2 linked regions of the Drosophila melanogaster genome follow. The protein of the gene in region 2 interacts with the protein of the main gene of each other region in a biochemical or structural test. Each region holds a gene or a part of one and is shown on either strand. Other genes may lie near its edges. The genes, in order: Ubi-p63E and CYLD.

What was found.
Region 1: of the proteins of CYLD (region 2) and Ubi-p63E, one has a biochemical effect on the other in vitro, tested with the Drosophila melanogaster proteins (2 studies listed by BioGRID).

The regions. Positions count from the first base shown.
Region 1 is NT_037436.4:3,898,633-3,904,705, forward strand, and holds Ubi-p63E (Ubiquitin-63E), read right to left. Parts: upstream 4,553-6,073; 5' UTR 4,372-4,552; intron 4,289-4,371; exon of another isoform or gene 4,223-4,288; intron 4,076-4,222; exon of another isoform or gene 3,895-4,075; intron 3,419-3,894; exon of another isoform or gene 3,221-3,418; intron 3,139-3,220; 5' UTR 3,128-3,138; coding exon 836-3,127; 3' UTR 799-835; downstream 1-798. Other genes in the region: Ccz1 (Caffeine, calcium, zinc sensitivity 1), read right to left, coding at 1-165, 230-327, 383-466; Sc2, read left to right, coding at 4,909-5,279, 5,437-5,653, 5,874-5,989, 6,052-6,073.
Region 2 is NT_033779.5:10,295,171-10,301,527, reverse strand, and holds CYLD (cylindromatosis), read left to right. Parts: upstream 1-1,680; 5' UTR 1,681-1,781; intron 1,782-2,307; 5' UTR 2,308-2,323; coding exon 2,324-2,484; intron 2,485-2,538; coding exon 2,539-2,747; intron 2,748-3,114; exon of another isoform or gene 3,115-3,399; coding exon of another isoform or gene 3,400-3,505; exon of another isoform or gene 3,506-3,550; intron 3,551-3,591; coding exon 3,592-3,823; intron 3,824-3,921; coding exon 3,922-4,097; intron 4,098-4,157; coding exon 4,158-4,312; intron 4,313-4,371; coding exon 4,372-4,590; intron 4,591-4,668; coding exon 4,669-4,903; intron 4,904-4,962; coding exon 4,963-5,104; intron 5,105-5,159; coding exon 5,160-5,356; intron 5,357-5,417; coding exon 5,418-5,611; 3' UTR 5,612-5,669; downstream 5,670-6,357. Other genes in the region: CG13138 (uncharacterized protein), read left to right, coding at 1-1,306; hand, read left to right, coding at 6,229-6,319.

The sequences.
Region 1 (6,073 bases), on a different chromosome or scaffold from region 2:
ATCTCGGCACCCCGATAATCGGCCACCTCCACGCCCTCCTTTAAGCGCACCTCCTTGGGAACATTCAGGACCAGTACTAACCAATACCCTGGCTCGGGTTGGTAGAAGAGTTGTGTGGTTTTCTGGGTATGCAAGGCCTGGCAATCATCTTCAGATGTAAAAGTTCTGCAAGTACAGCAAACTCTGTATTATTACCCACTTCCCTCTATGTAAAAAGTTCCATAAATACCCAGTGAACCTTATGATGGCCTCACTTAGTCCCACATCTTTGATTTTCGTATTTAATTCAATGTCATTTGGATGGTAAAACAAAACCTTCTTGTGTTCCTGAAAAAAATTACTCATTAGGGGCGTTTCTTAGCCTTAAAATTGATTTGCCAACCTCGCCTTCAACTTGGCCAAAAGTCGAGTTAAAAATGTAAAAGCTGCGTAACGTAATTTCTACGCGTTGCAATAATTTAGCCATTTCTTTCCGCACAGAATTAAAAGTATTTATTTTGGCCAAAGGTAAATAATGAAAAGGTACTAACGCGTCCGTGTTTGCCAACCAGGGTTACATTTTACCAAATGTAGTGTGCTAGTATATACCAAACGTTTCCAGTACCAAATTAAAAAAAATACCACACAATTAATAAGCGAATTTAAAGCTTTTTCATTTATTTTGGAATTTAATAGATTTAATAAAATTTATGTCATGGCGTTTACTGAAATTTAGAATTTTTCTGATGTCTTCCCTTTTGACAATGCAGAAAGGAAAGTGGCCATCCATAATCTCCTCATATTTATTTAGAGTGAAGTGCGTGCTAAATTGTGTTTATTTGGAAATGTATTTAGTTTAAGCCTGGATTCCTCCACGGAGACGGAGCACCAAGTGAAGGGTCGATTCCTTCTGGATGTTGTAATCGGACAGGGTGCGTCCATCCTCAAGCTGCTTGCCGGCGAAGATCAGACGCTGCTGATCTGGGGGAATTCCCTCCTTGTCTTGGATCTTAGCCTTAACATTCTCAATGGTGTCCGAGGGCTCTACCTCGAGGGTGATGGTCTTTCCGGTCAAAGTCTTCACGAAGATCTGCATACCACCACGGAGACGAAGGACCAAGTGAAGGGTGGACTCCTTCTGGATGTTGTAATCGGACAGGGTGCGTCCATCCTCAAGCTGCTTGCCGGCGAAGATCAGACGCTGCTGATCTGGGGGAATTCCCTCCTTGTCTTGGATCTTAGCCTTAACATTCTCAATGGTGTCCGAAGGCTCTACCTCGAGGGTGATGGTCTTTCCGGTCAAAGTCTTCACGAAGATCTGCATACCACCACGGAGACGAAGGACCAAGTGAAGGGTGGACTCCTTCTGGATGTTGTAATCGGACAGGGTGCGTCCATCCTCAAGCTGCTTGCCGGCGAAGATCAGACGCTGCTGATCTGGGGGAATTCCCTCCTTGTCTTGGATCTTAGCCTTAACATTCTCAATTGTGTCCGATGGCTCTACCTCGAGGGTGATGGTCTTTCCGGTCAAAGTCTTCACGAAGATCTGCATACCACCACGAAGACGAAGGACCAAGTGAAGGGTGGACTCCTTCTGGATGTTGTAATCGGACAGGGTGCGTCCATCCTCAAGCTGCTTGCCGGCGAAGATCAGACGCTGCTGATCTGGGGGAATTCCCTCCTTGTCTTGGATCTTAGCCTTAACATTCTCAATGGTGTCCGAAGGCTCTACCTCGAGGGTGATGGTCTTTCCGGTCAAAGTCTTCACGAAGATCTGCATACCACCACGGAGACGAAGGACCAAGTGAAGGGTGGACTCCTTCTGGATGTTGTAATCGGACAGGGTGCGTCCATCCTCAAGCTGCTTGCCGGCGAAGATCAGACGCTGCTGATCTGGGGGGATTCCCTCCTTATCCTGAATCTTGGCCTTCACATTCTCAATGGTGTCCGATGGCTCTACCTCGAGGGTGATGGTCTTTCCGGTCAAAGTCTTCACGAAGATCTGCATACCACCACGGAGACGAAGGACCAAGTGAAGGGTGGACTCCTTCTGGATGTTGTAATCGGACAGGGTGCGTCCATCCTCAAGCTGCTTGCCGGCGAAGATCAGACGCTGCTGATCTGGGGGAATTCCCTCCTTGTCTTGGATCTTAGCCTTAACATTCTCAATTGTGTCCGATGGCTCTACCTCGAGGGTGATGGTCTTTCCGGTCAAAGTCTTCACGAAGATCTGCATACCACCACGAAGACGAAGGACCAAGTGAAGGGTGGACTCCTTCTGAATGTTGTAATCGGACAGGGTGCGTCCATCCTCAAGCTGCTTGCCAGCGAAGATCAGACGCTGCTGATCTGGGGGAATTCCCTCCTTGTCTTGGATCTTAGCCTTAACATTCTCAATGGTGTCCGAAGGCTCTACCTCGAGGGTGATGGTCTTTCCGGTCAAAGTCTTCACGAAGATCTGCATACCACCACGGAGACGAAGGACCAAGTGAAGGGTGGACTCCTTCTGGATGTTGTAATCGGACAGGGTGCGTCCATCCTCAAGCTGCTTGCCGGCGAAGATCAGACGCTGCTGATCTGGGGGAATTCCCTCCTTGTCTTGGATCTTAGCCTTAACATTCTCAATTGTGTCCGATGGCTCTACCTCGAGGGTGATGGTCTTTCCGGTCAAAGTCTTCACGAAGATCTGCATACCACCACGGAGACGAAGGACCAAGTGAAGGGTGGACTCCTTCTGGATGTTGTAATCGGACAGGGTGCGTCCATCCTCAAGCTGCTTGCCAGCGAAGATCAGACGCTGCTGATCTGGGGGGATTCCCTCCTTATCCTGAATCTTGGCCTTCACATTCTCAATGGTGTCCGATGGCTCTACCTCGAGGGTGATGGTCTTTCCGGTCAAAGTCTTCACGAAGATCTGCATACCACCACGGAGACGAAGGACCAAGTGAAGGGTGGACTCCTTCTGAATGTTGTAATCGGACAGGGTGCGTCCGTCTTCCAGTTGCTTGCCGGCGAAGATCAGACGCTGCTGATCTGGGGGAATTCCTTCCTTGTCTTGGATCTTAGCCTTAACATTCTCAATGGTGTCCGAGGGCTCTACCTCGAGGGTGATGGTCTTTCCGGTCAAAGTCTTCACAAAGATCTGCATTTTGGATTATTCTGCGGGAAGAAAATAGAGATGTGGAAAATTAGTACGAAATCAGACGAGTTTCGTTGAAATTACAAAACTATTGAAACTAACTTTCTGGCTGGGGAATAAAAATGGGAAACTTATTTATCGACGCCAACTTTGTTGAGAAACCCCTATTAACCCTCTACGAATATTGGAACAAAGGAAAGCGAAGAAACAGGGAACAAAGGGTAGTTGAGAAACCTTTGTTCCGTTGCTTCGTCATCGTTTTCGTGTTGCGAGTGTGTGCATGTATGTATACACAGCTGAAATGCATGCATACACATTATTTTGTGTGTATATGGTGACGTCACAACTACAAGCAATAAGAAATTTTCAGACGTGGCTTTGTTTAAGCAACCTACTCTATTTCAGCTAAAAATAAGTGGATTTCGTTGGTAAAATACTTCAATTAACTAAACAACTAACTAATAACATGCACACAAATGCTCGAGTGCGTATGTGATTTCTCGAATTTTCAAATACGTCACTGCGAATTTCACAATTTGCCAATAAATCTTGGCGAAAATCAACACGTAAGTTTTATTTATAGATTTGTTTGCGTTTTGATGCCAATTCATTGGGAAAACGAGATGCGTGGCTGCCAATTTCTTATTTTGTAATTACGTAGAGCGTTGAATAAAAAAAAATGGCCGAACAAAGACCTTGAAATGCAGTTTTTCTTGAAATTACTCAACGTCTTGTTGCTCTTATTACTAATTGGTAACAGCGAGTTAAAAACTTACGTTTCTTGTGACTTTCGAGAATGTTCTTTTAATTGTACTTTAATCACCAACAATTAAGTATAAATTTTTCGCTGATTGCGCTTTACTTTCTGCTTGTACTTGCTGCTGCAAATGTCAATTGGTTTTGAAGGCGACCGTTCGCGAACGCTGTTTATATACCTTCGGTGTCCGTTGAAAATCACTAAAAAATACCGTAGTGTTCGTAACACTTTAGTACAGAGAAAAAAAATTGTGCCGAAATGTTTTTGATACGTACGAATACCTTGTATTAAAATTTTTTATGATTTCTATGTATCACTTTTTTTTTGTGTTTTTCGTTTAAACTCACCACAGTACAAAACAATAAAATATTTTTAAGACAATTTCAAATTGAGACCTTTCTCGTACTGACTTGACCGGCTGAATGAGGATTTCTACCTAGACGACCTACTTCTTACCATGACATTGAATGCAATGCCACCTTTGATCTAAACTTACAAAAGTCCAAGGCTTGTTAGGATTGGTGTTTTGGAATTTAAGACCCTTGTTAGTTTGCTTTTGAAATAGCACTGTCTTCTCTACCGGCTATAATTTTGAAACTCGCAGCTTGACTGGAAATTTAAAAAGTAATTCTGTGTAGGTAAAGGGTGTTTTAAAAGTGTGATGTGTTGAGCGTTGCGGCAACGACTGCTATTTATGTATATATTTTCAAAACTTATTGTTTTTGAAGTGTTTTAAATGGAGCTATCTGGCAACGCTGCGCATAATCTTACACAAGCTTTTCTTAATCCATTTTTAAGTAAAATTTGTTTATACTCTTTCGGCAAATAATTGTTAAATCGCTTTAAGTGGGCTTACATCTGGATAAGTAATGAAAACCTGGATAATATATTAATACATATAATCCACTGTGCTTTCCCCGTGTGTGGCCATATACCTAAAAAAGTTTATTTTCGCAGAGCCCCGCACGGTCACACTACGGTTCGGCGATTTTCGATTTTGGACAGTACTGATTGCAAGCGCACCGAAAGCAAAATGGAGCTGGAGATTTTGAACGCGAAGAACAGCAAGCCGTACGGCAAGGTGAAGGTGCCCTCCGGCGCCACGCCCATCGGCGATCTGCGCGCCCTAATTCACAAGACCCTGAAGCAGACCCCACACGCGAATCGCCAGTCGCTTCGTCTGGAACTGAAGGGCAAAAGCCTAAAGGATACGGACACATTGGAATCCCTGTCGCTGCGTTCCGGCGACAAGATCTATGTGAAGGATCTGGGTCCCCAGATTGGCTGGAAGACCGTTTTCCTGGCCGAGTACGCCGGCCCACTGATTGTATACTTGATTTTCTACTTCCGACCGGAGTTGGTGTACGGCAAAGCTGCCAGTCTGCCGATTTCCCTAACCACCCAGTGAGTTTGTAGAAAGTAGTCTCTGAAGTCTTTCGATTGTCGACCTAATCGACCTCGTCGCTTATGCAAACTAAAACGCAACGGCTCTGCATAATTATCCCCGAACTTTGGATGGTGGTTCACCCAGTAACCCGCTTTCTTTTCTCTTTTGCCCCAGCATTGCCGCCGGCTGCTATACGGTCCACTATGTGAAGCGTCTGCTGGAGACGATTTTCGTGCACCGCTTCTCGCACGCCACCATGCCGCTGAGGAATCTCTTCAAGAACTGCACATACTACTGGGGATTCACCGCCTATGTGTCCTACCACGTGAACCATCCGCAGTTCACCTCGCCCTGCATGTGCACCGTTTGGGGAGCTCTTGGGGCATTCGCTGTATGTATCCGCGGCCATGGTTTATGGATCTGGGTTATATGTTTTCGTAATCTACCGGTTTCCTTTGCTTTTGTTCGAAACATTTGTTTCTTAATACCAAAGGTGTAGCTTTTTGTTAAAATTGGTCAAGCAATTTGTAATGTTATATGTGCTATATATTTGGGATCCATTAATCATATTTGCAGACCCACAAACTAAGCCGCACACTTTTCACTTTCAGCTCTGCGAACTAGGAAACTTTTCGGTGCACATTGCCCTGCGCAACCTGCGTCCGCCGGGAACAAAAGTGCGCAAGATTCCGGTGGCCGATGGAAATCCCCTCACCAAGCTGTTCGAGTAAGTGGTCACTAAAAAAACCCACAGCTCAAGTTTATTAATTCGCGCTCTTCGAACTGCAGCTTGGTTTCTTGCCCCAACTAC
Region 2 (6,357 bases):
TACGGAAAGTAGGCATTATCATACATTCGAAGAGATCCACGAGCATATCGATGAGGACGATGGTCAATACCAGGCATCCGAACAGGTCGGAACACAAGCGATTCTGCACGAACATGTCGAGCACTCGAGTAAGAAGGATGCGAAGCGGATGAAGGTGAAAATCAAGCATCATCATCACCACCATCATCACAACCACATAAAGGAGCTGATCAAAACAGTACCACAACCGTATCCCGTGGAAAAGGTCGTCCATGTGCCCATTGAGAAAATTGTCGAGAAGATCGTACATGTGCCCAAGCTGGTGAATGTTACAGTTGAGAAAATAGTGCACGTGCCTATCGAAAAGATAGTGGAAAAGGTGATTCACATCCCAAAGCCAGTCCAAGTGCCCAAACCATATGTGGTCGAAAAGATAATTGAGAAAATAGTCCACGTACCGAAACCGTATCCAGTGCTCCGGACTGTTCCGTATCCGGTCGAAATAAAGGTGCCAGTTCATCTCGAGAAGAAGGTACCAGTGCCCTATAAGGTTGAGGTAGAACGAAAGGTTCCCGTTTACATTCGTTCCAGCGAGCCATATAAGTTCGAGTCATCATCACTCTACGAAAGTTATCCACGCGGCGAGGAGTTCAAATTTAACATGGAAATGGATCATCCACCGCCCAGAGAACACGAACCATCCAGCCTACCATCCTCAAACTACTACAACAGGATATACAAATCTAGGGAATTGGATCATCCTCCGAGGATGGAGGACTATCAAAGCTCCGTGCCCACACAGTTAAAGCACGATTACGCAACGAAAACTAATCTCGATCAGCAGTTTAAAAACGAGTACGTGACGAAAAGTAGTATTGATCCTCAATTTAAGCACGATTACGTGACGAAAAGTAGTATTGATCCTCAATTTAAGCACGATTACGTGACGAAAAGTAGTATTGATCCTCAATTTAAGCACGATTACGTAACAAAAAGTAGTTTTGATTCGCAGTATAACCAGGAATACGTACCCAAAACTAGCATTGAATCGACTTCTCCTGGACGGGATGGGGTTTCCCTGAAACTCGTCGGTCCCCCTACTCCTTTCAATATCACGGGAAAGGATTTGGAGACCGCCAACTCTGCTCCAGACTTTGTCAATAGCTCCAACGTAGACCTAAGTCCACAGGAATCGGCTAATGCCTATCGCGGTATGCCATTCTCCATACCATTTCAGTTTGTACAACTCCAACCAATGGCCTTTCAAAGTCCTATACATGTGGAACTGCCAATCCAATCCGCTTCAGCAGAAGGTGCTCAAAAGTGATAATCTAATCAAATGTTTAGCGTAAATAATCCTATTCAGAGAATTATTATATACCTGACAGACTTTTAAAAGACTTTTTCCCCACAATAAAAAAAATGCTAAAAAATAAGTTGCTTAATATAAAATATAATGCATATTAGAATATATAAAATTGTTTATTTTGTTGTTGTTAAAAGTTTATGATAAAATTCATAAGCAATAAAACATACTAAGCCTAACAAGCAACGACAAACAAATCGCAATATACTGTTACATATTCTATATAATAAAACCGTTTTTAAACCGTTATTACTTTGTTTTTTTGACTGTATTGTATTTTTTTGGTTCAAGATTACCCCCAACAATTGTCGATTGCGGTAAAATCGATAACGATATCCAGAATTCATTCCAATCGCATTCTAAAAGACACAAATTTTATAAATACTAAACAAAAATCCAGGATATAAACACCTTTTTATTTGTTAGTTCAATTTATGTGTGTTTGTATTAAAACTCAAACAGGGTTGCGCTAAAAACTTAATTGGTCATTTGGTATTTCAGCGAACAGCAATATTATTAAACCAATGTAGTCGCGATTGTTGTGTGTCATTGTTTTTATCAATTAGGGAAAAGTTGCTAACGAATTGTGTTTGTTATGCATGTATTTCCTGTTACTTGTTCTGTGCAGTCCTCCTTGGCAAATAAATATTTAATGCAAGATTGAAATTAGCGTAAAAACAATGGAATGTTTATTGAACTACTGTTACAGCAACCTGATGTCTCTTACATACTTACGTGCATATGTACATATGTATGTAAGCGACTGCAAACTAAGCAGTTACAAACAGAATCCGTCACATCGAGTATCATTGATTATTTCGTTTAACAGTTTTAACTCGACTGTAGAATACTCTCTGCCAAATATATAGCATGCTCTTTAAAATTTTTCATAAAAAAACACTTATGACCAATACATTTTGTATATCCTTTTTATTTAATTACTAATACAAATGTTATTATAGCCTTTAGTTGGAAATAATGAATTCCAAATCCGATTATGAAGCAGAAAAAGAAAAAAAGCTGACCATAACAAATAGATTCGGGGACTCCCTGGAAAACTATGAACTATCCAACGAGAGCGAGCACAAGACCCATGTATACCCGAAAAAGATTCCTAACAGAAAAAACGGAATTTTAAAGTACGTAGTAAAACTGTTTCAATTCATTTAAAGCTAATAATGAGCGATTTTTAGAAACACCGATGCCAACCATAGTGCCGTCGATAATCAACATCTTGAGGATGTGGATTTGGCAGACATTTTGGGCACAAATTGGCCAAAACGAGCGGGACCAGCTGCAATGATCTTAAACAACAAAAGTAAAACGGATCCTAGTAATTCTGTAGACTTAATTTTAAAACCAGCCTCACCCATATTAAAAATAGAGCCGGAGGAACCTTTACGTAAGTTTATTTTACTGTCATTTCTTCAAAAAGAAAAGAAATATATCATTATTAAGAACTAAGGAAGGAATCTGTTCCGACCTGCTACATTCTTGGTCAGGTTTACTAGCTCTCTTAATCTTAATCCTGTTTGTCCGTCCATATAAATAACGAGATCTCAGGAACTGTAAAAGCTAGTTCTAGTTAGTGGAATTACTCAAGCAGTCTTCTGTACTGCTTGCAAAAGACATTCAAATTCTGCCTGCTACATCACTCCTTGTGCTGGTTGTCTATTTTCAAGTGTATCGCACTTCTTTTAGCTGAGTAAACAGGTATGTAATAGTCGCTTCTTTCGAATATAGCGTTCACTGTTATTGAATCTTTTATTCTCGATACTTTACAGTTGTTGTAAGACTTGTATTCACTTTGCTTCCTTGCAAAAGACAACGAAATGAAAACGTCTATTTATTTATAGAACGCCGGCCAAATACATAACGACACATACATATATTCTATTTACGTTCACGTAAAACGGCAGTTCTCTGAGTTGATATATGCAGTTTGTCGAGGAGTTTTATTTGTTCTGCACTTTATCAAAGTTCTCAATTGCTGAAAAAAAAAAAAACATAAAAATTAGTAAAGAAATTAAAATTGTGCTGTGCGTCTTTCAAAAATGAATATATACCAACAAAAATTGTCTTCTGACTCGGATATCCACAATAATATTCCATTAACAGTGCTAGAATTTTATTCACCAAATTTATTGCCCGAAGAACTTGGTATGATCTATTATGAAATCGTTCCGCTTTTTTTAATTTGATTTTCTAAGAAATTAAAATTTATTTTAATTTTATTCTTGTCCTAGGTTTTACAATCGCTGATTATCAACCTCTGATTGAAATACCTGGAACCGAGCTAGCGATTGGTTCCCTCGTCGAAGTCTCGAATCCTGGAGTATGTGAAGATCTATATGGCGTTGTGAGATGGATAGGTATACCGCCTGGCCCGCAAAAAAACGTACTCGTCGGAATCGAGGTAGAAGACGAATCCAACTTGAAAAATGTAGTGGCATCGGATGGGAGACACAATGGCGTACGGTATGTCATACTTTTAAACATTTAAAACACATAAATAGGTACTCATACAAGAAAAACTCTTAACTGAAAAATATCTTCTGTGTTGTGTTTTGTTTTAGCTTATTTACTTGCCATGATGGTCGAGCTATTTTTGTACCAGCCAACAGATGCACCGCTGACCGGCGATTTGCTGATGTAGATAATAGCATTTCTGCAAACAGAGTTTCTAGTAATCACGCAAAGAAATTTGGCGTCGCTGACTGTCCTGCCATATATGGCTCGATACCACCATTACGTAAGATAACAATAAACATTTAATAAAGGAAAGGAGTTCATGCAGCTATTTGTTTTCCAGAAATACACAATTCCGATGAGCTTGCTAGCATATGTGGAAAGTTCAAAGGAATACAAGGACACCATAATTCCTGCTACCTTGATGCAACTCTATTTTCCATGTTCACTTTCACCAGTGTTTTCGATTCAATTCTGTACAGACGTCCGGGCCCACAAGTAAGTTATTCGATTTGTCTGCCCAGCTCACCAATAACAAATTATTTTATTTTCAACAGGATATTCGAAATTACAGTGAGGTTCAAAAGGTTCTGCGCGATGAGATCGTCAATCCATTGCGAAAAAACGTTTTCGTTCGATCCGATCGTGTGATGAAACTGCGCGAGCTCCTAGATCAGCTAAGTTCGGTCAGCGGTCTCACCTGCGAGGAAAAGGATCCTGAAGAGTTCCTAAATAGTTTGCTCTCACAAATAATGCGAGTTGAACCGTTTCTAAAGGTGCTTATTGTACTCATTATTGCATAGATTTTTATACTAAATAATTTACATGTTTTTTTTTTTTTTTTTTTTTTGTAGCTAAGCTCGGGGCAAGATTCTTATTTTTACCAACTCTTTGTGGAGAAGGATGAGAAGTTAACATTACCGAGTGTGCAACAATTGTTTGAGCAAAGCTTTCACTCATCGGATATAAAACTAAAGGAGGTTCCTTCTTGTTTCATCATTCAAATGCCTCGTTTCGGAAAGAACTACAAGATGTATCCAAGGATATTGCCATCGCAGGTTCTTGATGTCACAGACATAATTGAAAATTGTAGGTGTTCAACAATATAACAATTTGCATTTCGAATCTTAACAAAATTCAACTTGCAGCTCCTCGACAGTGCTCACTTTGTGGCAAACTAGCTGAATACGAGTGCCGGGATTGCTTTGGCAGCTTGCAGGCTGGATCAGGACTGGAATGCACCGCCTTTTGTCCAAAATGTCTCAAGACATTTCACAGTCACATCAAAAGGTCAGCTATCTTCATAGATAAATGAATGAAAACCAATTAAAAACCTATCTTTCAGAACGAATCATGTGTCGAAGAAGATTTATAGTCCGAAGGAATTTAAAATCATGGCCGAGCACATGGTTGTCCCGCGATTGTACATGGAGTTATTTGCAGTCGTTTGCATAGAAACATCTCACTACGTGGCATTTGTCAAGTCTGGATCCGGACCAGATGCTCCATGGTGTTTCTTCGATTCAATGGCTGATCGAAAAGGCAAGCAAAATCTTAGTTTTAACCTAACAAGTTTCTTATACTTACGCAAATGTTATTTCAGGCGAACAGAATGGATACAATATACCTGAAATTACGTGTGTTCCAGAATTAACACAGTGGCTCTCGGAAGAAGGCGCACGATCTATAAATGAAACTTCAACGAACGATAAAGTATTACCTGAACACGCCAAGCGTATTTTTTGCGATGCCTATATGTGTCTGTACCAAAGCACAGATATAATGATGTACCATTAGAGCAAATTTATCAATAAATTAAATGAATGCAATAAAATTTTTGTAAAAATCACATGTGAAATGGATTTTGTGCCTATTAATGGTTATTGGTTTGTTGAAAAATATGTTTTATGATATTAATATGGGTAGGCTTTACATATATAACAGGAAAAAATAAAGATAGGTGGTTTTCTATAACTAATATACCAAGTAGCTTATATTTTTTTTACAAAAAGTTTGTAACAATTAGGAAGTGCTTTTTGTTAGGAGAAGTTTTCAAGGTGACTCCAGAAACAGGACTGAACCATCTAGAGAACTACGGATCACTAGACCATGAAAGGCAGTTCATATTCCGGATATATATGGATGTATGTATACACGGGAGTACATACATACATATAAATCTTGAAGTGCCCACCATTGGTCGACGCAAAACGTCGGCGATTGCGATTGGTGGATTTGGAGGGAGGATATCCAGATGTTGTTCACTCGACGGCGCACATTCACTAAACAAGTGAAAAAGTTTTTCAGTTACTTGCCAGACATCAAAGACGAGTTTTACGTGCGACGCACTATCTGCGAAAATGTCGATCTTAAGCCGCGAATTTGATTTGAATTTAATTACGTTAAATTAGAAAATGTTTAAGAATTCCGTTGCCTTGACGTGCGAATACTCAACCATGTATTATAACTCAATTTATAATACTTCCAACATGTTCGACATGAAACGTAAATGTTTAAATCATTCTTCTTACTTCGCTGTTATT